Linked DNA regions of Elephas maximus indicus. Each later gene encodes a partner of the first gene's protein in a complex. Links are inferred from orthologs where the notes say so. Each region holds a gene or a part of one and is shown in the gene's direction. Other genes may lie near its edges. The genes, in order: E3 SUMO-protein ligase RanBP2-like, NUP205, NUP214 and CETN3.

Region 1 (7,384 bases):
TTGAGCAAAGCAAAGACTTTGAGAGCTTAACTTTGGAACTTCGCCCAGTTCCCAGACTGGCCACTGGGTGGCGCAAAAAATGGGACAGAACCGCAAAGGTTTTGGAAACTGATCTTGGAGCCATAGGAGTTGGAACTTGTGGCTTAAACCTAACCAGGTAGATGGCTGAAACAAAAATCTCTACATTCTTCATAGGATTTAGCCAACACCAGATTGTCATAATATAATATGCAAATAGCACCATAATTCAAAAGCATCAGTTCTTCTTTGGTCTTCCTTATTCATTGTCAAAACATCTCTTTTAAAGTGTTAAAAAGCAAAGATGTCACTTTAAGGCCTAAGGTAAGCCTGACTCAAGCCATGGTGTTTTCAATTGCTTCATATGCATGTGAAAGACGGACAATGAATAAGGAAGACTGAAGAACTGATGCTTTGAATTATGGTGTTGGTGAAGAATATCGAACATACCACAGACTGCCAGAAGAACGAAGAAATCTTGGGAGAAGTACAGCCAGAATGCTCCTCAGAAGCAAGATGCCAAGACTTCGTCTCACATACTTTGGACGTGTTATCAGGAGGGACCAATTGCTGGAAAAAGGCATCATGCTTGGTAAAGTAGAGAGTCAGTGAAAAAGAGGAAGACCCTCAGCGAGATGGACTGACACACTGGATGCAACAATGGGCTCAGGCACAACACCGATCGTGCCGATGGTGCAGGACCAGGCAGTGTTTCATTCGGTTGTACGCAGGGTTGCTATGAGTCGGAACTGACCCAATGGGACTTAACAACAACAACATCCATTGTCCGGCTTTCCCATGCATGTGAGGCGACTGAAAATACTATGGTTTGGGTCAGGTGCACCTTAGTCCTCAAAGTGACATCTTTGCTTAACACTTTAAAGAGGTCTTCTGCCTCAGATTTGCCCAGTGGAATACGTCATCTGATTTCTTGACTGTTGCTTCCATGGACGTTGTTGAATTCAGGTAAAATGAAATCTTTCACAACTTCAGTATTTTCCCGATCTAAATAATCTATACCTGTCTTAAAATTCATAGAAGTATACATCCCAAAAAGGAAAAATTTTTCTATATTATTATTTACCAAAAATACCAATATAAATTCTATTAAAAAATCAATTTGTGCCTCCATCCCCCACACCTGCCCCTCCTTCACTGTGTGCAGTCTTATTTTCACCTGTACCATTCCTTTCAAAAACAGCTTTTAAGAACCAAGTCTAAAGAACTTTTCTCAGTCATCATTCCTGATCTTTTGCATCATTTCATGCTGGTGATTATTCTCTCCCTAAAGCTCTGCTTTTTAGCTTGTGGAATGCTATACTTTTTGGGTTTTCTTTCAGCCACTTTGACTGCTACAGGTAGTAGTATCTTGTTTTCTCTACATAATTTGTCCCTTTTTTGGCATAGTGGTTAAGTGCTACGACTGCTAACCGAAAGGTCAGCAGTTCAAATCTACCAGGTGCTCTTTGGGAACTCTATGGGGTGGTTCTACCCTGTCATATAGGGTCACTATGAGTTGGAATCCACTCGACAGCAATGGGTTGTTTTTCTTTTTTTTTGTTTCAGACTGAGACAGACTAAGAGGAAAGGCCTGGCGATCTACTTCTGAAAACCAGCCAGTGACCACCTTATGGTTGTCAGGACATTGTCTGACTTGCTTTGGAGACGTCCTCAGGAGGGACCAATCGCTGGAGAAAGACATCGTATTTCGTGAAGTAGAGGCCCAGTGAAGACAAGGGAGACCCTCGGTGAGATGGATTGGCACAACAGCCACAATGGTGGACTTGGAACATGCTAGCGATTGCGCGGATGATGCAGGACTACGCAATGTTTCATTCTGTTGTACAAAAGGTCGCAATGAGTCGTAGTCCCCATGACAGCAGCTATCTGTATTTCTATCAGACAACACTGATATAGGGGATCCATCCCCACAGATACACACATGTACATACATACATAATATACATACACATGTATTGTCATCTATCTGTATCTTCTAATTTTTGCTTTGTGCAAGCTCTGCCTTGCATGGTTACAGGGAGGGTTGTGCTATTATGTGATAGCTCCAAATCCTTCCTCAGTTTATGGGTGAAATACCTACTTCTGCACACAAAAGGCATCTTAGACTGTACGGACATTGAGGGTAGCATATCCAGAAGCTTTTCTTTTCAGAGATGTATTCAAAGCAAAGGTATTAAAAGAATTATGCCCAAGAACAAAAGATAATGTCAGGGTGATGGGCAGGCATTCCGGTTCCTCTTGCTTCTAGAGCTCTTTATGAATATTTTTAACCTCATCATGTCTGTTCAGTTCAGAAGCCGTGCGATTACTGAAAGTGCTAGTTAATAAGCAGTACTTTAGTATTACTATAACCAAACCCATTGCCATTGACTCGATTCTGACTCATAGCGACCCTATAGTACAGAGAACTGCCCCATACAGAGAACTTTCCAAGGAGCAGGTGGTGAATTTGAACAGTCGATCTTTCGGTTAGCAACCTGAGCTCTTAACCACTGCATCACCAGGACTCCAGTATTACTATAGTAATAGTACTATACTATCATGTAAATTGGGAGTACTGAGAAGATGATGAACTGACAGTATAAATGGTTCTGATGAAAAAAGAATAACATGATATATGAAAGGTACTCTGTCTATGCAGTGGATAATAATGAGCAACAGAGAGCAATGGTACTTGACCAGATGGTAAAAAAAACTCCTTAGTTTGATCAACATCAAATTTGGATGCATATTAATGCAACGTTAATTCAAAAGTCAAGGACTCCAGACTAATCAAGTAAAACTAAAAAGAAAGCCAGATATTTCTATACGGATTAAAGTCTCATTCCCAGTGAACTGGCACAGATTCAACATGAGTGATGGAGCAGTTAGAGTAGAATTCATCCCGTTGCTAAGGAGTTCTTTGCACAGGATATTATGATGTCTGATTTGGGGGGACGATAATTACTTTTAAGAATAGGTTGGATGGAACTGGTCTATACTGGGAAAAGATGCTGGCTAGAATGGACAACATTAAAAAGAGAGTGCCTACTTTTAAAGCCCAAGAGGACAGGCTCATAGTCCTGTTTGGTGGAAAATGAGGTTCTGAGGCTTAATGAACGTGCTTAAGGAAAGCCTTTTGAGCTCCTCAAGAAGGTTCTTTGACTCATATTGAGCTCCTCAAGAAGGTTCTTTGACTCATATCTTCTCAGTATATTCAGTTTTCCATCCCAAACCAGATTATCTCTACATGTTATTTCTGTTAACGTCGGTCACACTAGAAACCTCAGAATCGTCCTTCCCTTTTCCCTTATTCACATCCAATGTGAATGAAATACAACAAGCAAATACTGTTTTTTATTATAAAGTGAATACCTGCAGTGCTGTACATCTAGAAAATATGGAAAAATAAAAAGGACAACAGTTACCAATAATCACAACATTCCTAATTGCCAGTTAAAAATTTTAACAGATTTCATTTGATATTTTCCCACATAATTAAGACCCCACTGTATGCACAAATGTAATCTCTTGTAAACCTAAAAATGTCTTCACCATTGAAAACATTTTAAGCCTTGTCTTAAAAGTATGATTTTAAGATTCAAAATCCAGAAGTAAACATAGGGGGAACACAGGTGTCCCACTATTTTGAGGTGTCTTTCACAGTGTGCCTATAAGGGTCCTGTCCCTCTCGCCACATCCTTCCTCACCCCTAGCACTCGGAGATTGTTATCCTACTCTTCTACTAAAATCATATATTTTTTTTTTTTGGACGATCACAGTTTTGTTAAACATATATGTAAACAAAACTCTGATCGTCCTATCTGACCTATATGTTAATAGGTCTCAAAATGTACTCTTTTATATAAAAGCGTGACTTTTAAAACGTATGCTTCGTATTCACACGTATCAGAATAATATATTTAACCAATCGCCTCCAGAATGGTTGTTCCAATTTACCAAAATGGCGAGACTGGTGGTTCTTTCCACAGCATTACGTAATTACAACGAAGAACGTAGGAACAAGACTTCGAAGAACTCAAAACATCCTGCTGATCTAGTTAAGAGTCCTGGGATCATACGTGGTACTGGATAGTTTTCCCCACGCCTCCTCCGGCGAGAGCCCTGCCGCCGAAAGCCGGAATCTGAGCCTGGCTCCGGTAGGCTGGTGTGCGGAGACCCGGCGGCCCGGCCGAGCCCCAGCGCGGCGGGAGGGCGGCCAGCGGGCGCGGCGGGCTGTGCGCAAGCGGAAGTCCGCGGGGCTGGCCGGAGGCCTCGCTGCCGTGGCCGGCGTGGCGCACAGTGCTGATGCAACACGCACGCACGTCCGGCCGCTCCTCAGCCGGCGACGACGCTGCGTCACGCGCTTTTGGGCGCTTCGTCCCCACAGACGGCCGAGCGCTGCGGGCCCCGAGGCTGGTCTCCCGCGCACCGGGAGCCAGGACGGGGCGCGATGAGGCGCAGCAAGGCTGACGTGGAGCGGTACATCGCCTCGGTGCAGGGCTCTGTCCCGTCGCCCCGAGAGGTAGGACGCCCCGGGGAGACGTGGGCCTCTGGCCCTGGCCCGGCTGCGGCCCGCGGCCCCGCGTCGGCTTCATGGCCCCCGGCCGGCCGCCGCTGCTTCGCGCGTTCCGTTGAGGCGGCGGCCGATCGCGCGGGCGCTGGGTTGCGTGGCGCTCGCGAGAGTGCGGGCGGACGGGGGGCGCGTGTCGGGGGCGAAGGAGCCGGGGCCGCGCGGGGCCTCGCGGCGGGGCAGCGGCCGGTGGCGCCGGCGCTTCCTCTTCCTGCTGGCCGGCGCCGAGCGTCCTCGCTTGCGGACCCGCCCTGGCCCTTGTTCCCTCGGCCGCCAGCGCTCCGCGGTGGGCTCTCGCCGCCGCTGTGCCCCCGCTTGGCGCCCCGGTGCCAGCTCCGGCGGGATTCTTTAGTCTCCGGGATTGTTAGCTCCCCGACCGCGGCGGAGGCGGCGGCACCTCCCAGGCTGGAAGTTGGTGGGACCCAGCGGGGACTGACGCAGCTCCGGGAGGGCTTTTCCTCGGGCCGGAGCAGGGGCTACCGCTACATTTGCGACTGCTTGACGCACAGCGCAGGTGACAAGGGATGGTCTCCTGTTTTGAGGTGTCCTGCACAGTGCTTCTAAGAGCCGGGTCCCTCTCATCATGTCCTTCACCACTCCTAGCTCTCTTTAGAAGCTTCTTTCGTTTGCTTTTATTGTTCTTTAATGGAATCTTAGGAGTTCTGGATTCCATAGAGAATGTCACTACTGTGACTTAAAAATTTTAACTTTTTACACAACATACTGTTAGGGAACTTTTCCTGTTTTAAGATAAACCATGTATTTTGGATTCAACAGGACTTTAGTGGTCGAACGTGGAGGGTAAGTGTGGCTGTGCAGAGGATCTAGAGTTGGTTTGCCTGAGGTTGAATCAGGGCTCTTAAGCTGTTAAATTGTGGAATTGGGCAAGTTAAACCGTTTTCTCATTAATAAAACGGAGTTGTAACGTTGATAGGATGATCCATATTAAACATTTAAGACAGAGCTTGGCACCTGTTGTTGTGTGCCGTGGATTTGATGTCGACTCACGGCGACGTTGTAGAGCTGCCCCGCAGCGTTTCCAAAGCGGTAATCTTTATGCAAGCAGATGGCCACATCTTTCTCCCAAGGAGCTGCTGGTGGTTGAAACAACCCACCCTGCAAGGTTAGCAGTTGAATTCTTTAACCACTGCGCTACCTGGGCTCCTTTCTTTGGCACACCAAACCCAAAACCAAACGCATTGCCATCGAGTCGATTCTGACTCATAGCGACCTTTGGCACACACTAAGCACTAAACGTTAGTGGCAGTTCATTTTTGTTTTTGACGTGAAAAGGACAGTCATCCTTTTTTTTGGGCAAGGAGGGTCCTATGATGATAAAGATCTGTTTAAAAATTTTAAAAGAGTTTTTAGAAAAGCAGAACTCTTGGATTATCATGATTGTAATAGCAACATAGTTGAGTCTCTGTCTATATCCCAGGCTTATGTTATCTTATTTAGTGCTCCCAACAACCCTGTGGATACTGAGACCTGGAGAGGTTAAAGATACAGTTTAGCTTAAGAGCCTTGTCATTCTTCAGGAGGGAATGAATAGGTATCTACATCTAATTGTAATTTTGAACTGCCGCATAGTCAGAAGTATTACCGGGCTGGCAGTGTCTACAAAGGACCTTCTTAAGGATTTCTGTACTCTCTGAAATTCGTAAGCCTTTTTCGTTGTTGTTTGTCTTGTTCTCAGTAAGAAGACACTGGCTTCCAAAATATTAAGAACTGCTGGACTAGGCAGAAGTTAGAGGGTATGGAAAATGACCTTTCAGCTACCTAATCTTTCCATCCAATAAAGTGAAGATGGGTGCAAAGTCTTAAGGATTGTTATTACGGTCACCTTTGTCATACACTCAAAGAATATTATTTTAATCAGATGTTTTCTTCAAAGAAGGTGAAGAAAAAGAAGGTTTAGAGCCTGAGAATGTCAGCGGGGTATGGATTAGCAAGTGAGTAACTTTGGAACATGCGAAGCCACTCTTTAAGCTTAGGTCTGAGTGAAATGACAAGATAGGGTGCTTTGAACAACTTAAGGAGCCCTGGTGGCATGGTCCTTAAGTCCTGGCCTGCTAACGGAAAGGTCAGCAGTTTGTACCTACCACATGCTCTGTGGGAGAAGGTTATGGCAGTCTGCTTCCATAAAGATTTACAGCCTTGTAAACCCAATGGGGCAGTTCTGCTTTGTTCTGTAGGGTTGCTAGGAGTTGGAATCCACTTGACAGCAGTGGGTTTGGGTTTGGTTGGACAACTTGGAAGGAGAGATGGGGGGAGCAGAGACAGTAGCAGAGTAGAAAGGGGTCTTAGTGTTTACTTCACTCATTTTGGTAGAGGCTGGTCATGTGTGAACTGACCATCCTTTTTAGGATGTTCAGGTTTTGGAGCGTGTTGATGGATCCATAATCTCTTATCTTCCTGGTCTTCCATTGTACTTTCATTTGCGTATCTCTTTATTTTACCTTTTTTCTACTCTTTCACGCTGCTTTTGCCCTTGTTGAAGACATCAGCCACCTGTTGTTGTTGGGTGCCATCGAGTCAATTCTGACTCACAGAGACTCCATTTGACAGAGTACAGCTGCCCCACAGAGTTTTTTTGGCTGCATTTTTTATGGAAGCAGGTCACCAGGTCTTTATTTGGCAAAGCTGCTAGGTGGGTTTGAACCACCAACCTTTAGGTTAGCAGCCAAGTGCTTAACTGTTGTGCCGCCAAGGCTCGTTATCAGTTACTTGTCTTTCTATAAATTTTATTTTTCCAGGTAGCTTTTTTTTCTATGTAGTTTTCTTGATTTCTGT
Region 2 (7,262 bases), on another chromosome or scaffold:
CATTGGACTACTGCTGATACTCAAGGGGTGTGAGAGCAATTTCAAAGAGCATGATACAAATACAAGGGTTTGCTGAATGTGCAGATACATTTTGGTTCAATTTGCGCAGGACAGGACTAGTATGTCACAAGTTACATGATTATAGTCGCAATGATGCGTTCTTTTGTGTTTGGTGAGCAACAACTGAATGTGAGGTCATACCTGATAGGTCCGAAATGAAAAGGAAAATATAATTGTTATCGTATACAACATTTATAAAATATGCATTTTATTTCTTTGTGGAATCGTTCAACTCCCATATTTGGAGATACATACACACATAACTGATGTAACGATAACAGCACTTCTCGAAAAGCAAGTTTGTTTTGTGAGTCATAACAATGTCAATCGACTTCTGAAAGGAAATGGAAAATAAAATACACTTATATAATTTTTATTATCTAACGTTTCATTTAATTTATTTCCTTGAGGAATTGTTCAATTTCCTTACACAGAGATACATAAATATTCTGATAAAATATAATGTTCTGATAAATGTCCTTTGTTGCTTTCTTGGAGGATGAATTTATAAACAGACTCATTGTTGCAAAACAGAAACATATTATGCATGATAAATATTGAATTTTGCATAATCTTAACTTGCCTGATACTGTGTTCATTAGCACATATACAGCAATATCAAGCACTGTGTTCACACAACAGACAATAAAAAACAAAACTCACTTGACACATAAATTAAAACTTTCCCTGTTAGATAAATATTATTATTTCTAGTATTTTTGGATGTTTGCTATGTTAGTATTACATTAAATTATTGCCCATTAGTATTATATTAAATGTATGCTAAACTGTGTCTGCCTTTATGCCAAACATATTTTAAAGTTATAAATGTTATTGTTTACATTACTTAGGACATAATTCAGTATGTAAATGCTAGACAGTTAAAAAGTAACTTGATTGGATTCATTGCAGTAGTTGACTTATTTGAGTTCCCTCACTTTTGCGAGTCATCTGGGACTGGAGTTCCCATTGGCTGTTTACCAGGACGTGCACAAGACCGTATCCTTGTGTTTGCATCATGGCCAAAATCATTGTCTCCTGGCTGGAGTTGCTGGATCAGCAGATATGGACGGGTGTGACTGGATCTGAGACTTGTTATCTATTAATATAATCCATCCTTGCCCAGTAACCACTCTTGTTGGATCAAGCTGCATATTGGATGAATGTAGCAAGAGTTAGACTTGACGGCCCACCCCACCTCTTATTTATTCGGAAGAAACAGTATACTCACAAGAGACTCACTGAGACAAGGAATTTCGATTACACAGGAAGGGACCGTAGGAGACAGATGTCAACAAAGATGTTGAAGTGGTAGGGGCCTCATAGCTTAAACAACCCTATGTATAGGCACTGTCGTGACCTTGTGTGAACTTTATTTCTGGTTGGCACATTCTCACGCACTGGAATGAGTATCAGTTTCGTTTAGTGCCTTGCCAGTTCTCTTCCTCTGTGGTGCTTGCTTTTCCTTGTGTCTTGTCTTCTTGGCATCTATGGGTCTTTGCTTTGGACAACTGGTGCCCCTGTTTTGTTGACACTCTAAGCACGTGCTTACCTTGGTTATTGGGTAATCCACCCCTGGCTGCAGCGAAGGACTCAGACGTGCTGGCAATGGTAAGGATGATGCAGGACCAGGCAACATTTCATTCTGTTGTATATGAGGTTGCCTTGAGTCGGAGTCAACTCGACAGCAGCTATCTGTCTATTTTAAGATCTGAAAGAGCTTCGTGTATGCAGTTAAATCTCAATTAGGGCAATGAGAGAAGTTATGAATAATCTAAAACCATTGGGAGTGCAAGATTATAGCCTTCTGTCTCTTGGAATGGATCAATTGGACTGTGGCACAGTGCAGCCCCTCGTTGCAGATTAATCACAAATTGTTTAATTGTAGAGCACTCCCAAGGCCTCAGTGCACTCTAACAGCCTGGTTAAACTAGCCCTAAGTAATTGACTACACCTCCATTTCGCACTTATTTTACCATATATATATATATATATATATATATATATATATTGCTGTCAAGTCAATTCCCACTCATAGTCAAGTCAATTCCCACTCATAGCGACCCCACAGGGCAGATTAGACATAGCTTATCCTTATTTAACAAATGCTCATATAGCCTATGTGTCAGGCACATTCTAAGCACTTTACAAATAAGCCTCTCAACAACCCAAGGGCGTAAGTACTATTGTCATCGTCATCCTCTTTGAAAGGTGAGGAAACTGAGGCACTGAGGATTGTTTCACAGCCAAGTGATTGAAACAGGATTTGAACCCCAGAAGCCTGGCTCTAGGGTCTGGTTTCTTAACACTATTCTACATGGCCCCTCTCTTTCTCTCCCAGTAAGTAGATTATGGAGGCGCCAGGAGAGAGGCCCAGACTAGAGATACAAGTACGGATTTATCAGCCAACAGGTAGTACTAAGAAGCCATAGGATCTCCCAGAGAAAGCATGTAGAACAGAGACCAAGGGAGGGACCATGAGGGGAGAGCTACATTTAATGGGTGAAAAAAGGAAGAGCAGCCCATGCAGGAAACGTAAAAGGAAAACTAGAAAGAGGAAAACCTGGACGTGTGATGCTCCACAAGCCAAGACCAGAAAAAACGTTTCTAAGACATTCAGAAAAGTGCACGTGGGATTTGACAGTTGGTCACAGGTGACTTTACTGGGAGCAGTTTTAGAGGGGTGGTGATGGGGGCAATATCCTGATTGCTATGGGTTGAGGCATCCCATGAGAGAACTTGAGTCAGTGTGGTGATGGGTGAGCGTGAGCTGCAGGAAGTTAAATCATTCCTTCACGGAAAGCAAAGCCATCGACCAAGAGGGAAGTATGTGGGCTTAAAGAGTGTGTGTGGGAGGAAGGCTTGTAAGAGTTGTGCTGAGAAAGAAAATCTTGTTTGGACTCTGCTTCCTTCCAAGTTCCCGATCAATTTTCTTCTCACCTTCATGGAGAACTTCATGAAAAATCCCTTCATTCTCTCTTCCTCTCTCTTCCCCTTCATTCCTGAGAATCACTTTCATTGTAGCCTGGCATTTGCCTCTATACTGAAATGGCTTTCAAAAAAACCACCAGTAACTTTTGTGTTTCACCTAGTGTACATTGGACCAGTCTCACTCAATATTATTTGTTCAAAAGAATGAATATACTCAATATTCTCAACAGTATACTCTATGGTTTTATCTGCATTATTTAATTCTAATTCTGACAGTGAACTGGGAATGCAAACCCTATTTCCTCTCAACCTCAGTGAAATATTGGAGTTGATAAAGTGAGACTGTAAGACACATGGAGCATCTTTGAGATAAGCAGCTATAATTTTATCATCCCTCTTATAGGGTTGTGGCAGGAATTAAATGATATAATGCATATACGATTTTTAATATATGCCTGGCATAAGTTGTAATGATTTTTATATTTTAGTTTGATGCAAGTGAATAAACAGGGCCCAGCTATTCTGATGCTTAGGTAAAAAATACTTGGTGTTTCTGAAATATGTCAGGAATTTGCTGCGGAGAGGGGAGAATTGGCCAAGTTTTTGACGTTGGAGGCTCGTTATTTTTATTTTGTATATGTTCAAAACTTTCATAATAAAAAGTTATGATTTGTTTCCCTTTGATTTCTTTCACTCTCTGTAATGTTGACGCAACATGCAAGGAAGAGTTAGTTTTAAATTAAGAGAATTATTTTGAATGCACGGCTTTTATAATATCATAAACAGGCGACATTTTAATAACTAGTCTCAGGATGTCTTTGTCCAGCGTTACGGAGCCCTGGTGGTGCAGTGGTTAAGAGCTTGCCTGCGAACCTAAAGGTCCGCAGTTCCAATCCACCTGAATCCACCAGCCACTCCTAGGAAACCTTATGGGGCAGTTCTACTCTGTCCTATAGGGTCGCTGTGAGTCGGAATCGCCTGGAAAGGAACGGGTATAAACAAATTTCACTTATCACCAGGAAGAAACTACATGTCCCAGGATGCCTAGAGGCTCAAAGTAAGACAGAGGGCCTCGCGTCTCCGAACTGGTTGCCCTCGCCTTACCTGAATGGGATTAATCCCGGTGGAGATTGACGTTTGTGACCCAAAGCAGATTCTCGAGTCTTTCGCCCGCCCAGGCCGACCGAGCGCGCCGTTCGGAGGGGACAGCGTGGAGCTTTTCTGTTCAGGCGCCGCTGCGGGCAGCCTCACCCCGTCGGGGTCCTCCGTGCGGCCCGAGGGCTCCGTTAGTACGCCTCCAAGATGGCGACCCCGTTGGCGGTAAATTCGGGTGAGTGCGGCCAGGGCAGGAGGGAAAGGCCGGGCAGGGCAGGGCGGAGATCGGTTCTTCAGGGAGGAGCTCGGGCTGTGAGGTTCCTCCGAGGCCAGGCCCCCACGCGTGCTCGGTATCCGCCTTTTTCTAGCTTTGGGCCTAGGGTCCCGCTCCTCTCAGGTTTGAATGGCACGCGTTGGCGCGGCGGCTCTGGCCCTTGGGTCGGCGTCCCAGGGCCGAGGCAGTGAGGCTTAGTCCCCTGCAACCGGATGTGCAGTCTCTCCCAGCCCGGGGCCGAGTCTGGTTCCTGCTCCCCCTACCCTATTAGGTATCCTCGGCCCGGGTTTCGCCAAGATAGGCGTCAAATCTCCGGCAGTGAGCCCAAAGGACCTGAGAGATTTTTCAGCCACGAGCGGAAGCTGAAAAACTCGAACCCCAAATCCGTAGGGAGGCACCGGAGCCGCTGACAGGGGAGTCCTATAGGCAGTGAGGACCCTTGATTATGCAGTCTGCGATCCGGAAAGTGGCCGGGCTTGGGTTGCCGCGGGCTTGGCTGATGACTCCCAGCTCTGCGGGCGTGGCCCGGCTCTGGATGCTCCTGTACCTTTGGGGCAGTAGATCTTCGGGGTGGAACAGAATTTAGAAGGTGGCAAAGGAACTCTAAAGAGCACTAGTGACGCAGTGGTTAAAGCGACCGACTGCTAACTGAAAGGACGGCAGTTCGAAACCACCAGCCACTCCGCAGGAGGAAAGTGTGGCAGTCTGAGTCGGAGTGTACTCGGTGGCAGTGGGATTGGAAAGGAGTGCCGGAAGATTTGGGGTGGGGCTTCTTTTGGTGTTTTTCCACCCAGGGCGGTACCTCCCCCAAGGACGTTTCATATTGGGTGCATTTTTGATTGTCACAATTCCTGGGGTGCGATACTGGCGCTTAGTGGGCGGGGCAAGGATGTCAGAAGTCCTGTATGGGCGGGGCTGTCCTGAAAACGTAGGATTTCCCGCTGGGAATGTCAGTAATGCCCCGGTTGAGACGCACTTAGCTTCTTGGTCACAATTAAGAGAATACCTGTGCGATAAATCTTTGTAGAGAATCTCACTCAAGAGCACTCCTTCGTGGGAGCCTTTTGCCTCTAATTATGCAGTGCCTTTTTGGGGGGGAGGAGTGCAGGTTCTACTTTTCACAGAACGGGTACTCCTGAAAAATTGTCTAAATTTGAGTTTTATAAACCAAACCACTTAAAAACACTATGATAAATTATTTTATAATAACGATGGTTTATATTTATTGAGCACCTGTGTCCCAGGCACTGGACTGACTGCTGTACTTGTATTATCTCGTTTAATTCCTCTGAGGCGCCTATGGAGTGGTGGCTTTTAAATACCTCGCTTTACAGACTTGAAAACAGAGGCTTCGAGAGGTTTAGTGACTTCCCCAGGATTTATACAGCTTAGGGGCTTAAATTACTGCACCCCGCCCTCAAAAAAAACCAAACAAACCATTGCCATCCAGTCAATTCCAACTGATAGCAACCCTATAGGACAAAGTAGAACCGTCCCCTAGGGTATCCAAGGAGAGCCTGGTGGATTCGAACTGCCGACCTTTTGGTTAGCAGCTGCAGCACTTAACCACTACGTCGCCATGGTTTCCAAACTATTGCACGCTACTATTTAATCACAACCCAATTCATTTTATTACATCAAATTTTCATATATTTAAATTTTAATAATGAGGTTACGTCCTTAATGTTGCTGTCACGTTTCCTACCAGGTATAAACTTAAAAGCAAGGCTTGTATACTGTGTGTGTGTGGTTATATATATTTCCTTAGTACTTATTCATCCTGAGTTACTATCATTAAACACTGAAGCAGAAAGGAAAAGCAGTTGTCAACAGTTGCAAAGTGTTTATTGTACTTTGTATAATAAAGCCTGTGGCAGAGCTTTTAATTGGCTATGTAGAAAAGAAACATTTTTTTAAAATCTAAGAATCAGGAGAATTTTTTTTTTTTTTTTACAATTGTAGAAGGGGAAAAAATAGATTGTAGAGTCCTAAGACCTGTGTTTGAACTTCACCTGCATGACTTACTAGTTGTTGTTAGTAAGCAACCATTAACAGTACTTGACAGTGCTTCCAGTAATCTGGTCACCTCTGCCCCATTCACAGCAGTGACAGTTTCAGACCTTTTTCACACTCCTCAAATCTTTAACCTCCAGCTGATACCTCAGCCTCAGCCACCTAGTCACAGAGAACATGAGAAGCCAACAGGCACAACCTCTCTTTTTTCACCCTTTGTCACACATACAAACCTAGATATCTCTGTACCCTTTCCAAGCAGTTTCCTCCCCTCCTCCTATTTAAGGCAATATCCCCCTTTTTTGTTATTTTAATTAGTTTTTATTGTCTTTTAAGTGAAAGGTTACAAATCAGGTCAGTCTCTCATGCAAAAATTTACATACACCTTGCTATACACTCCGAATTGCTCTCTCCCTAATGAGATAGCACAGCCCTTCCCTTCACTCTCTCCTGTGACCATTCGGGCAGCTTCTGGCCTCCTCTGCCCTCTCATTTCCCCTCCAGACAGGAGATGCCAACATAGTCTCATGTGTCTACTTGATCCAAGGAGCTTGTTCTTCACCAGTATCATTTTCCATCCCATATTCCAGTCCAATCACCGTCTGAAGAGTTGGCTTTGAGAATGGTTCTTGTCTTGGGCTAACAGAAGGTCTGGGGACTATGGCCTCCAGGGTCCTTCTAGGGCCAGTCTGACCATTAAGTCTAGTCTTTTTACAAGAATTTGGGGTCTGCATCCCACTGTTCTCCTGCTCCCTCAGGGGTTCTCTGTTGTGTTCCCTGTCAGGGCAGTCATTGGTTGTGGCCGGGCACCATCTAGTTCTTCTGGTCTCAGGCTGATGTAAATTCCACTCTTTATGCCCTGCTCCCTGTCTGTTATCCTTCTCTCTCT
Region 3 (7,053 bases), on another chromosome or scaffold:
ACAATGGCCCTAGCAGATTGCCCTAGGCTTCCACAAGATCCCACTGGGAAATGGATTTGAGGGGCATCTGTTGAGGCCCGTAGACTTGAGGGCTAGATGATCTTTCCCTGGATAGGGGAAGAAGTCCTAATCCTTTTTTTCTTTTCTTTTGTTTTTCTCCATCTCCAAACCAGAGTCATGATGTTTGAAGGAAAAGCCAATGAGAACAGCCCGAAGCCAGTTGGCCCTCCTCCAGAGAGAGACATTGCCAGCCTACCCTGAGGACCCTGCCTGGACCTGCCCCTGCCCTACCTGGCCTCCCCGCCCCTCCTCCTCTCTCCACATCTCGCTGGCCTTCTTGACTCATTGTGATTTGTCTTGTTTGTTTGTTTGGTCATTGCGGGTTTGTTTGTTTGTTTCATTGGACAGAATCAGTGATCTTTTTGTAAAGCACAAACTACCTGCCTTAAAAGGGCTCTGGGTGGTGGAATCCTGAGCCTTCAGTCCCCTCTTCACCCATCCTTCCATCCTCCCTCTGCAGAAGAGCTGACATCAAACCAAAAACCACAGGGACAGGGGAAGGGCCAGAGCCAGGGCAGGGAGGCTGGGAAGGCTCTGGAGTTGGGACAAGGCTGCAGGGCCTTGTGAACATTTCCTCTGGCCGCTCTGTGTTTCCAGCGTTCTTGGCTTGGCCCAGCTTCCTGCCGGCCACACCATGGCCTACCACCCCAGCTGCTCTCCACTCAGTCTGTGCTTCTTATCCTCAATGAGGGTTCTCAAGGAGGCGACTGGAGGAGGGGAAGAGAGGAGTTTGGCAATTTGAGCCCTTTGAGAAGGTACCGGAAGGAGCTCTCTGGCCATGCCACCAGCAGCGACCACACTTTTACAGGCAGTTTGGAGGGCAGGTGCAGCTGCACAGGCCGGCCGTTGCTGGAGCAGGAAAGGGCTTTGGAGGGAGAGATGGGGCCAGGGACCTTAGGGGAGGGGTCGCCTCAGTCTAGTCTCTTTTAGGAAGGATGCTGAGGGCAAAAGGACAGGAGAATCAAGAATAAAATGTTCATGGCACAAAGAGTCAACCTTACTATTAAACCAAGAGCTACCTTTCTGACCCCAATCTTCATGAAACCTGACTACTCTTCCCCCATTTGTCTTCCCACCCTACTCACACGATTCACTTATTCATTCTACAGATATTTATTGACCATCTGTTACGAGCTTTAAGTCCTTCCCCTTTATCCTGACATGTGCTGTGTCCACTGTCTCTCTAAATCATCTCTCCTTTTCCAAATCACCCAAAACCTTGAGTTTTGGAATTGGATTGGGGATACCTTTGTTCTTTATTATAGACTCACAGGATTTAAGAGTCCCAATCCACCCTGCAGGTTAGCTGGGCAGTCCTCCCATGTCACAGGTGAGAAAACCATGTTTGGCCCATAGAGATTAAGTGCCTTGCCCAAGGTCAGGGGGTTAATTTGGAGATGGAAGGGTCTGGACCAGAGCTCAGGTCTTCTGATCCCCTGCCCACACCTCATCTCTGCTCTGGAATCCTCAGTTAGTTGTGAAAACAGGGAAGGATTGGGGAAAGGTAGTCTCCTAGGTCAACATTTGGGTAAGATTTTCCTTGCCTGGAAGGCCCTGGGCCAGGATTAACTACCCAGCATTTCCAAGTCAGCATCAGGGTCTGTATAAGGCCTGGGACTGCCTTTACAGTTCTGGTGCCTGGTTCTCAGAACACATGCAGGAAGATGTCAAACTTGGCCACTTCTTGGCTGAGCAGGGGGTCTCAGCCTTGATACCACCTGTGCTCTGCAGTCCCTTATCTCTCCCCATGCAGGACTTGGATGCACTTATTCATTGAACGTATTTATTAAGCACCTGCTATGAGCAAAGAACTAAGAATCCAGCAGTAAAATAGGACAGACTCATGGAATTGTGAGTCTAGTGGGGAAGTCAGACCCAGATAATAACATGAGAGATGAATGTTAGGAATGGGGGATACAAGGGTAACTGCCCTGCAGTCCTGGGGGAATGAGCTGGGCCCAAGACTGGAGACTTGGAGAAACCTTTGCAAAACCTAAAGTAGAAAGGTCTGGGGGCTGTTGGAGCCAGTGCGGGCTCCCTGTGGCTCCTTAGTGACCCATAATCAAGGGCCCAACGTGCTGCTCCCTATAGTAGCTTGAGAGGATAAGGGAGGAAGAGGGTGGGGAAATGGCCAGGTTAGATTAGTCCACTGGTCTCAACCAGTTCAGGAGCAAGACTATTTGGCCATGACTGGCTGATCTTCAGCCTAAGAAGCTGCTTCAAATGCACAGGCCTAGTCGAAGTTTAAACCCCAGTAAAACACTCCACCCTGTAAATGTAAAATCCCACCTCTACCTCCTCTGCCTTTTTTTTTTTTTTTCCTGAGATCAATAGATTAGCAGCTACCTGACCCCAAGGCTTCTCACTGCCTGTCCTCTTTGGGCAGGCTGGGACCTTTGAGCAAGGTAAAGCCTTCCTTACTACCCATCATATTCAGTGTACCCGTTCCTCACTCACAGAGAAAGACAAAACTAGCCAGGCTTATTTCAGTGGGTTCCGCAGCTTACAAGACCGAAGGAAGCCTCCTTAAGGAAGGAAAACAAGCTGGTGTGTTTCCAGCTTCTGGAAAGGGCCGGAAGAGGGGCTCTCTCATTGGATGGGGGGGTACCTTGGGAAACCCCATCAGTTCCTTCACCACTTCTTAGAACTCAACCCTTGGTGGAAAGGGTCTCAAGAATGTTTCTCGGACAAGGGGCCTGCATGTATTTCAGGTTGTGGCTATTGGCTCTAGGATACTTACTTCTCTGGCTAGGGGCTCAGCTTCTTGGCGCTTCAGCTGTCTTTATTTCTGAAAGACCAAATCTATCTGTAATGTAACCAGCAACTTGGGGACTGCCAATTATGGCTTTGTCCCTATGACTCAAAAGGAAGGAGTTTGTTGGGTAAATCCAGGTGGATGAAGTATGTGTGTGTGTGTGTGCATGTGAGTGCGTGTGGTGTGGGATATCATCTCTACAGATTGGAAATAAACCAGACAAACTTATCGATGTCATGATTGGTTTATTTTTAATACAGTTCTTTAGCTCAGCAAATTCAGAAGAGCTAGTTAACAGATTAAAATGTGCCAGACTTATTTAACCCTCACAAAAACCTCCGTGAGATAGGTTCTGTCATTGTCAACCTCTTACAGATGAGAATTGGGCTTGGAGCAGATAAACAACTTACTGCAAACCTGATAGTGGTAGAATATCCTACAGCATTTATAATTCCATTACAAAAAATTTCTTCTACAACAGGGCTGTGTAATAGTTATCAAATTCAGACAACATGAATTCTAATCCTACCTCCAACACTTTCTGGCTGAGGGGCACTGGAGGAATTTTCTTAACATCTCTGTGCTTCAGTCGTCTCATCAATTAAACGGCAATCCCAGGTGGCTGGGATGTCTTGACAATTAAATAAGATAAGCACAACTAAAGGGTTTTGCCCAGAACTCAGCACAAACTATTTTGTTAACGGAGATAGATACGGCTCTTCAAAGGAGTAAACAAAGCTGGTCTTTGGTGCCCTTTTTCAAAACGGACTTTTGTGACAAGGTTCCATCCACCTATTTTCTGAACTTCTCTTCCCTTACCCTGCCCCACCAAAGCCTCTCTCAAGAGCCGCCCCTGTAAATATTTGTCAAGTCCCTGACATCTCTGCATCGGGAACAATAACCACCTACATCGAAAGGTTACTGTGAGGTTTCAACGGAACAAGGTGCTTGCAGCGCTCAGGCGTCAGACGCCGAACGAGTAACTCCAACCCTAGGCGAGACCGTAAGCGTGGGGGCGGAGTCAGGACGCTCCAGGCGGCAGGCGTGCGGGCCCTAGGGCCACGCCCCCACTCGGACTGAACTGGCCAATGGGAGGTGGCAGTCCGAGGAGCGCGCGGCTTCAAGTCTACCTCTAGTTTCCTCAAACACTTAGCGGAACAGGACGCGTGACGTCATCAAAGCGCGCCGGAAATGCGAGTTCAGCTGCGCGGTACTGTCCCTGAGGGAAGGAAGTTGGCCTCGGAGCGGCTTGTGCTCTGTGGGCAAGGCCCAGGCCGGCAGCAGTAGCTGCTTCGACAACCTGTGTGCGGCGCGATGGGAGACGAGATGGATGCGATGATCCCCGAGCGGGAAATGAAGGTCAGATACTGGCCAGGGGCTCCCTCCCTTAGTACTGGCGTTGCCTTGGAGCCCCGCCTTCGGCTTGAACAGGTTACGGCGTTCAGAGTTCTCACTGGCGTTGCTCTGGAGCGCTCTGTTGTGCCGCTTGCGTGGTAGCCCCACGGAATGAGCTTCCCCGGTCTTTGTTAGTCTTGTGCATTCTTCTGGAGTTATCTTAGCTGCTTACATGTGGTAGTCTGAGTAGTGGTAATAACTGTTTATTGAGCGTTTATTGTGTGCCAGGCACTGTGGTAAGCATTATCTCCCTGAATCATCACCGCAACCCTATAAAGTGGTTGTTAGTATCCCTGTTTTACAGAGGAGAAAATCGAGACCCGGAAAGTAGCTTATCCAGTCACATTTGACAAGGGGACTGAAGTCTAGGTTTATTTAAGACACTTTCTTCACTGTCACGGTACTACTTCTGTAGGGCGGTCCAGACTTGCTTAACATAGAGCCGAAGATCAGGCATCTTACAAAACCTTTAGGTAACTGGCATAGAAGGGCTATTTTGGCGCAGCACATCAGCTTAAGGTCAAGAAAAGGGGAGAAATAAGTGGTCCAAATGATGGTAAAGTTGGAGAGTGCGGGGGTAGGTCCCCAGGATGGTTGTGTTTGACGTTTCTTATAAATTTTCTGATAGAACGAGAGTACAGAGAACAAGCTACATTTCTTTTACATAGCAAACGGCTAAGAGGAAATAAGTTACAGGAAGATTTCAGGCATTCATGTGAACAACAAATCCCTAGGAAGCATTTACCCACCCAGTGCCCTCGAGTCGTAGGGATAATGATCCATATTTAGAGTAATGATTCTTACTTTTTCTTCTTGAGAATCACTGCTGTGGTGAGCAACCCAGAGGGAATGTGTCATGTTCCTCAGATATGCTGGAGCAGAAGAAAAGAAAGGTTTTAGGACCACAGCCTTAGAAACGATAGTCTCCCTTTGAGTTATATGATTGTAACAGAAAGGAGAGTTCTCCTGTGCTTCTTCATCCCACTGGCCTACTGTACCCATGTGATTAAGACCCAAATAAAAAATTTAGGATTATCAGGATAAGAATTACAAAAATGAAATTTTTATTCTCCTCCTGTATGAAACTATAGTGTGGTCTCATCTGAAAAGCTGTGTGAATTTCAAGGTTTCCAAGGAGTGGCTGGTGGATTCGAACTGCCAACCTTTTGACTAGCAGCCAAGCTCTTAATCACTGTGCCACCAGGGCTCCTAGTTGGAATTAAGAAAGAGTATTTCAGTTAATCTTTTAGCAAATATGTATTAAACACCTAACCCAAGGAAACTAGTACGTGGGTTGTGTTGGGGCCATAGAGTTGGTTCCTACTCATAGCAACCCTGTGTACAACAGAACTAAACACTGCCTGATCCTGTGCCATCCTTATGATCATTGTTGTGCTTGAGCCCGTTGTTGCAGCTGCTGTGTCATTCGACCTCGTTGAGGGTCTTCCTCATTTTTACTGACCCTCTACCCAGCATGGTGTCCTTCTCCAGGGACTGATCCTCTTGTGGGGTGTGGAAAGGATCCTATATGAAACTGTATAAGAATCCAGTGTGGAAAAAAAATGAAGGCTGAGAAAAACTGTCCTTGTTTTTTACAATTTTGGATTATAAGCATAAAGTTGATTTACTGAGGCCTTGACTTAAAGACAGGCTTAGAATTATATTAAAAAAAAAAAAGTGTGTGTGTGTGTGTATATATATATATATATATATACCCACAGTGTAGTTTAACATAGTGATTGATAAACTTATGTATCTCTTATTGAAAACTTAGATAAATCCATGGAAGACAGGTGAGTCAGACATTGGCAGGAGATCAGGGGAGGAGGCTCCCAGGCCAATTATTTATGTCTAAAGGCCTTAAGGTACTAAAGAGCATGAGGACTGAGGGAAATGGGGTGGGGGGGAGCAGGGAAGGTAGCTGTAGCAGTGGTGATAGTGCATTTTTTAGAGGAAGCGGAGATGAGACTACAGAGGTAGAGGGATCAAGCCATGCTTGACCTTATAGATTGTGTTATGAATTTTGGTTTTGTGTTTTAAATGTTCTCATAGCATCTGTGTTTTGCTTAAAAGCATTGAGCTTCAAGAGATTGTCCATTTCCATTTTGTGATAGAATGCTTTTTTGGCATATGATATAAGTAAGCCAATTCTTGGGCTTTGGTCATCTTCTGTCATCATTATTTCAATATATATTTGTTGACTACTACACTAGAAGTTAAGAGTTCACTGTAGTTAGGTGATACTTTCAATATTTAACAAGTATTAAGCTCTACTCTGGGTCTGAGACAATATGCACTTAACATGACAGGATAAGATTATAAATAATATAGTTTGTGGTGATTCGAAGAATAAATACAGTAGGAATTCAGAAAAAAGAAGAGATCAGTGTGAGCTAGATTAGTCCAAGAAAAATTTCATGAAAGTTTTCTCTCATTTATCTCATTTAACAAATATTGCACACTATGCCAGGCACCATGATAATAAGCACAAGAATTTAAAGACACACTGTCCTTAGCCTCAAGGAATTATATTCTTTTGTTGCCTTGGAATTGGGTCTCTTGGAATATAACGACAGACATAATTTTCTGTTAGCCCTGAATTTTTTTTTTTTTTCCCCTCAATCCTTCACAATAGGATTTTCAGTTTAGAGCACTGAAAAAAGTGAGAATCTTTGAGTCCCCTGACAAGTTGCCCAAGGAACGCACGAGTTTGCTTGCCGTGTCCAACAAGTATGGTCTGGTCTTTGCTGGTGGAACCAGTGGATTGCAAATTTTTCCTACTAAAAATCTTCTGATTCAAAATAAACCTGGGGATGATCCCAATAAAATTGGTAAGTTACTTG
Region 4 (7,784 bases), on another chromosome or scaffold:
TTTGGTGATCTTTTGGGGTCTATCCTGTATGAGGTTTGTTGAGCTTCTTGGATGGAAGCTTTCTTGTCTTTCATGGTATCAGGGACGTTTTCTGCCAATAAGTCTTCAAAAATTCTCTTGCGCTTTTTTGGTCTCCTCCTACTGTGGAATTCCAATCATGCTTTTAAATGATTCCTTTTAATAGTGTCCCACATAACTCTTAGGCTTTCTTCACCTTTCATTTTTTTTTTTTTTGATTCTTCCTCAAATTAGTAACAAGTGATTTGTCCTCTATTTTGCTGATTCTTTCTTCCATTGATTCAGTTCTACTTCTATGTCCAACCATTATTTCTGATATTTTATTGTTAATCTTCTGGATTTCTAGTTGCTGTTTTATATGGTTTACAATTGTCTGTCATTTTGTTCTTATATTGTTTTCCTGAATTCTTCTAGAGTTTTGTCTATATACAACTTTTGAATTCCTTATCAGGTTGTTCCATTACCATCTCTTCCTCAGGAAAATTTTCTGCCCCTTTGCCACTTGCTTGAGCCATCTTGTCTTGCTTTTTTATACAGTTTGATATCATCTGCTGTATCTGAGGCATTAAGGTACCAGGTTAGTGCTAGCAGTTACTGAATTCTCTGGAGGTCAGGGCAGGAGGCCTCATATCCATTTGTGGTTCTATGTGTGACTTTGGTGGTGTCTGTTGGCTGAGAGTGATTTTCTCACTAGTGGATATGGTGGATCACACCCACTTGGAGTCCTCTGTAGTTAGGCTTGTATGTCTTCCCTTACCTGATTGAGTGTAAGTGGTATAGCTGGTTCTTTCCCTGATATTGGGTCACAAATGTTGGGTAGTCTGGGTCCCTCTGCAGCCCTTGTGGGACCATGTGGTACTTCTGGGTTGATGCTAGTAGTTAGTGTATCTGCTGGAGAGCACGAAAGGTCATCTTTGTAGGGGATAGGCTCTGGGTATAGGCACAAATGCTCTCACTGGGCCAATGGGCACTGGAGTGCTCCTGCTGGTCACTATGTGGTAGGTACTCTCCATCCACTTGCTGGGCTGCAGGCTAGGGGGCATTTCTGCTGGTTGCTGGGCAGTGAATGCAGGCACACTCCTGCCAGTCTCTGTATAGCAGGCATGCTCCTGCTGGTTGCTGGGATGCAGGTGCGCTCCTGCCGATCACTAGGTGCGCTCCCACTGGTCTCCAGGCTGCAGGTGTGCTCTGACCAGTCCAGCAGTCCTAGGTGCTCCTGCCAGTTGCCGGGTGGCAGGTGTGCTCCTGCTGGTTGCTGGGCAGTGGGCGTGCTCCTGCTGGTCTCCAGGCAGCTGAAGCAGACTCCCGCCAGTTGGTGGGTAAGGGTGTGGGGGATGCTCTTGTTTGGCTGCTCCAGGCAATTGAGGCCTGGTTCATTTAAATGTGGGGGAGTGCATGGAGACTGGCTGGGTGTGGTTTTACTATTCAGTGGGTGCTTCCCGGCCAAATGCTCAGGCACTGCCACTGGCGAGTAGTACCTTTCCTAGTTCCTGGCTCCCTCCCCTCTGCGCGGTTTGTTTGCACAGTATCTCTTCCTCCTGTTGTGAGCTCCATGTAGTTGCCTTCCTGTGCTCCTTACCCAGGAATGCTGCCCGCTTTGTTTCAAGATGGCTATGTTGTGCCAGGCGAGCTGGCAAGGTGCTGAGGATCTGTATATCTCCATGTGTGCTGTTTTCTTTCAGTCTCTCCTTCCACTTGGAGCTCAGTCTAATTCTTAATCCTTCTGTTTAATGATCAGGGTTCCCTGGTTGTCCTGTATCTGTTTCACTTAGTTTCTAAAGTACTTGATGTAGGGGGACATTCTGCATGTCAGTCTAAGCCACCACCTTAGGCTTTCTGTGCCTAGTTTTTTAGTTTTATTCTATTATACTATCTTTACAATGGGCTGCAATGATGTGATCAAACATAGCAACGACTGTGAGGATGGTGCAGGATGGGTGCCATGGATTGAATTATGTCCCCCCAAAAATGTATTAACCTGGTTAGGCCATGATTCCCAGTATTCTGCGGTTGTTCTCCACTTTGTGATTGTAATTTTATGTTAAGAGGATTGGGCGGGATTGTAACACCATCCTTACTCAGGTCACCTCCCTGATCCAATGTGGAGGGAGTTTCCCTGGGGTGAGGCCTTTACCATGTTTTATAAGGGACGCAAGCAGAGAGTTGGGGACCTCATACCACCAAGAAAGCAGCACCGAGAGCAGAGCACGTCCTTTGGACCTGGGGTTCCTGCACCTGAGATGCTACCAGACCAAGAGAAGATGGATGACAAGGACCTTCCTCTAGAGCTGACAGAGACAGAAAGCCTTCCTCTGGAGCTGATGCCCTGAATTTGGACTTATAACCTCCTAGACTGTGAGAGAATAAATTTCTCTTTGTTAAAGCCATCCACTTGTGGTACTTCTGTTATAGCAGCACTAGATGACTAAGACAACGGGGCAGTGTTTTGTTCTGATATACACAGGGTGCTATGAGTTCAAACCGACTCAGTGGCACTGTTGTGGATTGAATTGTGTTCCACAAAAATGTGTGTCAACTTGGGGCTAGGCCATGAGTCCCAGTATTATGTGGTTGTCCTCCATTTTGCGATCTGATGTAATTATCCTCTGTGTTTTAAATCCTAACCTCTATGACGTTAATGAGGCAGGGATTATAGGCAGTTATGGAAATGAGACAGGATACAATCTACAGGATTAGGTTGTATCTTGAGCCAATCTTTTTTGAGATATAAAATACAGAAGGGAGTAGAGAGGAGAGAGACCTCCTGCCACTGAGAAAGAAGAGCTGGGAGCAGTTCATCCTTTGGATCCTGGATCCCTGTGCTAAGAAAATCCTAGACCCAGGGGAAAACTGATGACAAGGACCTTCCCCCAGAGCTGACAGAGAAAGCCTTGCCCTGGTGCTGGCATCCTGAATTTGGGCTTCTAGACTGTGAGAGAATATATTTCCGTATGTTAAAGCCATCCACTTGTGGTATTTCTTTTATAGCAGCACTAGATAAATAAGACAGGCAACTAATTACCTGTCCATATTTAGCTCATTCTTCTAAGCCTAACACATATGCCATCTCCCTGAAGAAGCCCTACTGTGTTCTTTCCCTTCTCTAAACCTTTATATACATCCCTTATCTTTATCCCATTGCTGTCAAGTTGATTCCAACTCATAGTGACCCTATTGGACAGGTTAGAACTGCCCCATAGGGTTTCCAAGGCTGTAAATCTTTCTGGAAGCAGACTGATGACATTTTTGTTCTGCAGAGTGGCTGGTGGGTTTGAACCACCGACCTTTCAGTTAGCAACTTAGCTCTTAACCACTGCACCACCAGGGCTCCTTCCTTATATCATAACCCATTGCTGCTGAGTCAATTCTGACTCATAGCAACCCTATAGGAGAGAGTAGAACTGCCCCGTAGGGATTCTAAGGAGTGATGGTGGATTCAAACTGCTGACCTTTTCATTGGTAGCCAAGCTCTCAACCACTGCACTGCTTTATATCATGTTAATAAGTTAAATATTTTCTCTCTTCCTTACTCACACACTCCCTCCCAGGATTTTATTCATGTTTACGAGATTTGCAGCTTAGCTCAGTACTCTTCCCAGCAAGATTCTATGAAATGCAGCACATATTTTTGATGCATTAGACAGTGTATGGATTGTTAGTGGCATTGAGTTCACCCTCAACTAATAGGGACACCATGCACAATGGAATCTGATCATTATGAGCCATAGGGTTTTCACTGGATGATTTTTCAGCAGATCACCAGGCCTTTCTTCCTGGTCTTGGTCTGGAAGCTTGGCTGAAATCTGTTCAGCATCATAACTACACATGTCTCCATTAACAGGCATATAGTGACTGTGCTTGAGGTGCACTGGCCAGGAATCTAACCCAGGCTCCACGTGAAAAGTGAGAGTCCTACCATGGCCTTCAAATAGTGCTAGGTTGCTAGGACTAGAGTTAAATGGAAGATACAAGTCTGGCCTTCAAGAAATTCAACATAGTGGGGAGATGAAAAAGTAACCATATTAGCCAAATGAGCATCAAAAAACTTGGTTTGTTACTGAAAGTAACACCTTGTGTATGAACAGTTTACAGCCCTGGAAAATAATATGAGACACAGTGGACAAATCCCGTCAAAGGAGTTCAAAGGAGAAAGAGGGGGGAGAAGAGGTGTGATTACCCATAGGACCTGCTTTGAAATCACTAGGACAAATATAAGGGGGGAAAAATGCAGATTTATACCTCCTGGAATCACAACAGGGAAAAGGAGGCACTTAAGGATAGGTTTTAAACTCCCTAGCTCTTGGGCCATCCAAAATTTTAAGAAAACAGTGGCGCCAAGTTTCGCTGACCTCATCACCCATCTGCTCCCTTTAAATAGCTGGGAGACGGCTTGCAACATGACTCCTGCCTTCCTTTCTTCCGAGGTAGCTCGTCTCCAAACAGCAGCCAGTACACGGCGCTCTCAAGCGGACATTCGCCCACCCCACCGCCAAACACCGCAGAGGCGACCAGATCCGGGCCCCGCAAAGGATTCCGGGTAAAAGCATCTGGCCAATCTAAAGGGCCGACCGAGCTGCAGGAGGGACGAGCAAGGACGTTTCGTTGTTTGACGTTAAACCTGTCCAATGAGAATACAGAGTCAGTGAGGGCCCCCGCCCCAATAGGCAGGATATTAGCCAGTTTCAACCAATCCAACTCAGAAGTGTTGTCTTGTGGGCGTTCCTTGACGCTGCTGGCGCCGTTGGTGTCTGTTGAACGGGCTTTGCGAGTCGGGCTGTGTTGGTAGGGTGTTAAACTCGTTCTTGAGAGGAACGTCTCTGTCGGAAGAGAACATGAGTTTAGCTCTGAGGTCGGTAATGAGGAGACAATGCTCTCCACACCCCGGAGCGGGACCCAGGGGTGGGTGTGTGGGCGTGTGGAAAGAAGGCAGTTTGAGATGAGGAGCGGGGCGGGGACGGAATCTCGGCCAACTTTCTTGACCGCGGAACCCTTACGCTAGGAGCCCTTGGTGTTCCGTAGGTGATGAGTTCCGGCTAAGGTGATCGTTTCTGTCAACCCGTTTCGGTTTTTGGACTGCCAAGGAGGCAGCTACTGTGTTAGCGATCGTGGAGGGAGTGAAATATCGCGAGGCTTTCTGCTCTGGGTGTCCCTGCGAAAAACCAGGCCGTATCGTATCCTTCATTGAGTTCAGTGATCCCAACCTCCGGCCCCCACCTTCTGTTAAGTTGCTGACGTAATCACTCAGTTATAAATTTTGGAAATAATGCAAAGCTCCTCCTTGTTCTTCTCCCCGGGCCCTGCTTTGCGGTATAATTGGAGACACGTTTTAGTGACTTTAGTTGACAGTATCTTAGATTTCCTTAGATTGAGTTCGTTTCCCTTCATTCTAGCCTTTAACCTTCCCGCTCCACTTGCTTCTCCCTCCACCATCCCCATGTAGACGTTTTATCAGAAAAATACCCGTGTAGTTACGCCACTCTAAAAGGTGCTGTTTTCTACTAATGGGCAGTTGTGGTATTCTTGGATTGAGTCAGTTGTCGGTCGGTTGCAGACTTGTCCTCTCGGAATCTTGGGACGGTAACGACTGACCCCGGGAATGTCGAAGCTTGTGTGAAGCCTGGTCTCTTGTGAAAGAAAGATCTTCCTTACCTTTCTCATGCTTCACCTCCTGGTCACTTTCTAGCCATCTCTTTTTTTTTTTTTTTGGTTGCGGATTTCAGAGACCAAAACAACTGGAAGCGCGAATAACACGTTCTAATAAAATCAACTGGATTTTACATTATAAAGTTTTATACGATTTGTCTATACATGTGTTGCATCACCATTTGAAAATTTGGACCACATAAAGATTGGCGTCTCTTAAGACGTTTCTTCTGGCTTTTGAAATAAATTTTGCTTTTATTTTTCTTTAAGCTTTTCCAGAATTTGTTATAAGAAATTTATAATTTACATGCTAAGTGAGACTAGAAGACCATTGAAGCTTCATCTTATCTATATAGGATTAGCACAGTATTATGTACTTTTTCTTTTTGGCGTTTAATATTCGTGATATGTTTAGATTCAGTATTTTGGTTGATTTGTTAATATCAATGGATTAAATCACAAAGTGCCAAGCCATTAGCAATATGTAATGTAAAAACGTTTTGAACCTGCAGTGCCAAAATCTTTAGTAAGTTAATTGATAAATTATATGGTTTTATTTACTTTTTTTTGTAGTAATTTTTAGGATAAATTATAAGCACTCTCAAAAGTAAATCGAGTATGTATGGTTTCATAAATTATGAATTTTACTTGGAGGTTTTTTTAACTATATATTGTAGGATGATATGAATAAAGTTTGCTTTTTTGTTGTTTGGGGTTTAATAAAAGTAATGTTTTTTGTTTGGGGTGACGTAAAAGTAATGTTTCTTAATCACCGTTGTTGTTGCTTCCACAGTAATATTAACGGGAATTAACACAAAGCTATGAGGACTGAAAGTTAGGTCTTTGTTTTTCTTTCGAAAACCTGTAACGCTCTTCGGTTCTGGGAAGGGGCAAATGTATAGAAGCTCAGACAATTCCTTTTTAGAAAATCATTCACTGGATAATTTTTTATTTGTCTTTTTGCAGTCTTAATAATTCAGAGGCATAAGAGAATAGAATTAGAGTAGACTAACAACTTTTTTCTGTCCATTTCATAGAAATGAGCTTGTAGTAGACAAAACAAAGAGAAAAAAGCGAAGAGAACTCTCTGAGGAACAGAAGCAAGAAATTAAAGATGCGTTTGAACTATTTGATACAGACAAAGATGAAGCAATAGATTATCATGAGTTAAAGGTAATAAATCCTTTAAAATACATGTCTGTGTTATAATGATTTGCATTGTTGATAGTTTAAATATTTTTAACTGAATTGGTTTTAGAAATATGAAACAATTTTAAGCTTTCACAGTAAAGTGCTATAATAAAACTGAATACTACCCCTTACATACCTTTTCAAAACTCCCTTTTACATGGTAAAATGAGTTTTAAATAGTATTTTAAGCAGTATTTGAAACCTTGCATATATTCTTATGGCAGTTACTTATTTTTCATTCATGTAATTGAAAGATTTCAAACTATGGGATTTAAACAGCTCTTACTATATTCTTGCCATTTTTTTGATGAATCATTTTTTCAGTGTTTTTTTTTTTTAATTTTAACATGTTAGTAATAAGGTTTTAATCTACTGTCTCTGATGCAATCAACAGAAGTGATATCTAATGTTAATGGGGAAAAATGTCAACTTTAACGCCTAGAATTATTTATAAACATACAAGGGGAAACTGTTTTTGTTTTAAATATTGTGGTAAATATATATGCAACAAAGTATTTGATATTTCAATAATATTTATATGTACAGTTCAGTGACATTGTGTTCATCATGTTCGACCATTACCCTTATCTGTTCCCAAATTATAGAGAAAAACAGTTTTGAATGGCTTTCTAGTAGCCTTCATAGGTATGTGAATATAATAAATGTTTATTTGGTGGTTTTAATTTTGGTAACTTTGTATGGGATTTTTAAGCACAAAATTCTGAGTAGGGGAAAGAACTGTGCAGTGACAGGACGGAATGTATAAAAGCAATACTAGGCCTGTAAGTCTGGCTTTCTCAGTCTTGAGGTCCTCTTAAACTCTCTTCCTACAGCTTTTTTTAGTTACCCACATTTGATCATTTCTTCTATTCTTGCTATTACTCTCTTGATTTGGGACCCTATTTCATATCTGGAAATATAATATTTGGAGC

Evidence for each region.
Region 2: E3 SUMO-protein ligase RanBP2-like (region 1) and NUP205 share a complex: the UniProt entries of both Homo sapiens proteins name them as parts of the nuclear pore complex. The link is inferred for Elephas maximus indicus from reciprocal best matches to the Homo sapiens genes RANBP2 and NUP205.
Region 3: E3 SUMO-protein ligase RanBP2-like (region 1) and NUP214 share a complex: the UniProt entries of both Homo sapiens proteins name them as parts of the nuclear pore complex. The link is inferred for Elephas maximus indicus from reciprocal best matches to the Homo sapiens genes RANBP2 and NUP214.
Region 4: E3 SUMO-protein ligase RanBP2-like (region 1) and CETN3 share a complex: the UniProt entries of both Homo sapiens proteins name them as parts of the nuclear pore complex. The link is inferred for Elephas maximus indicus from reciprocal best matches to the Homo sapiens genes RANBP2 and CETN3.

The regions. Positions count from the first base shown.
Region 1 is NC_064835.1:77,082,907-77,090,290, reverse strand, and holds the start of E3 SUMO-protein ligase RanBP2-like, read left to right. Parts: upstream 1-4,354; 5' UTR 4,355-4,471; coding exon 4,472-4,543; intron 4,544-7,384. UniProt on the Homo sapiens protein: E3 SUMO-protein ligase which facilitates SUMO1 and SUMO2 conjugation by UBE2I. Involved in transport factor (Ran-GTP, karyopherin)-mediated protein import via the F-G repeat-containing domain which acts as a docking site for substrates.
Region 2 is NC_064826.1:14,293,044-14,300,305, reverse strand, and holds the start of NUP205 (nuclear pore complex protein Nup205), read left to right. Parts: upstream 1-4,231; 5' UTR 4,232-4,293; coding exon 4,294-4,321; intron 4,322-7,262. UniProt on the Homo sapiens protein: Plays a role in the nuclear pore complex (NPC) assembly and/or maintenance. May anchor NUP62 and other nucleoporins, but not NUP153 and TPR, to the NPC.
Region 3 is NC_064827.1:82,068,838-82,075,890, forward strand, and holds the start of NUP214 (nuclear pore complex protein Nup214), read left to right. Parts: upstream 1-4,008; 5' UTR 4,009-4,129; coding exon 4,130-4,174; intron 4,175-6,845; coding exon 6,846-7,041; intron 7,042-7,053. Other genes in the region: AIF1L (allograft inflammatory factor 1-like), read left to right, coding at 174-261. UniProt on the Homo sapiens protein: Part of the nuclear pore complex. Has a critical role in nucleocytoplasmic transport.
Region 4 is NC_064820.1:97,036,308-97,044,091, reverse strand, and holds the start of CETN3 (centrin-3), read left to right. Parts: upstream 1-4,733; 5' UTR 4,734-4,850; coding exon 4,851-4,867; intron 4,868-6,698; coding exon 6,699-6,834; intron 6,835-7,784. UniProt on the Homo sapiens protein: Plays a fundamental role in microtubule-organizing center structure and function. As a component of the TREX-2 complex, involved in the export of mRNAs to the cytoplasm through the nuclear pores.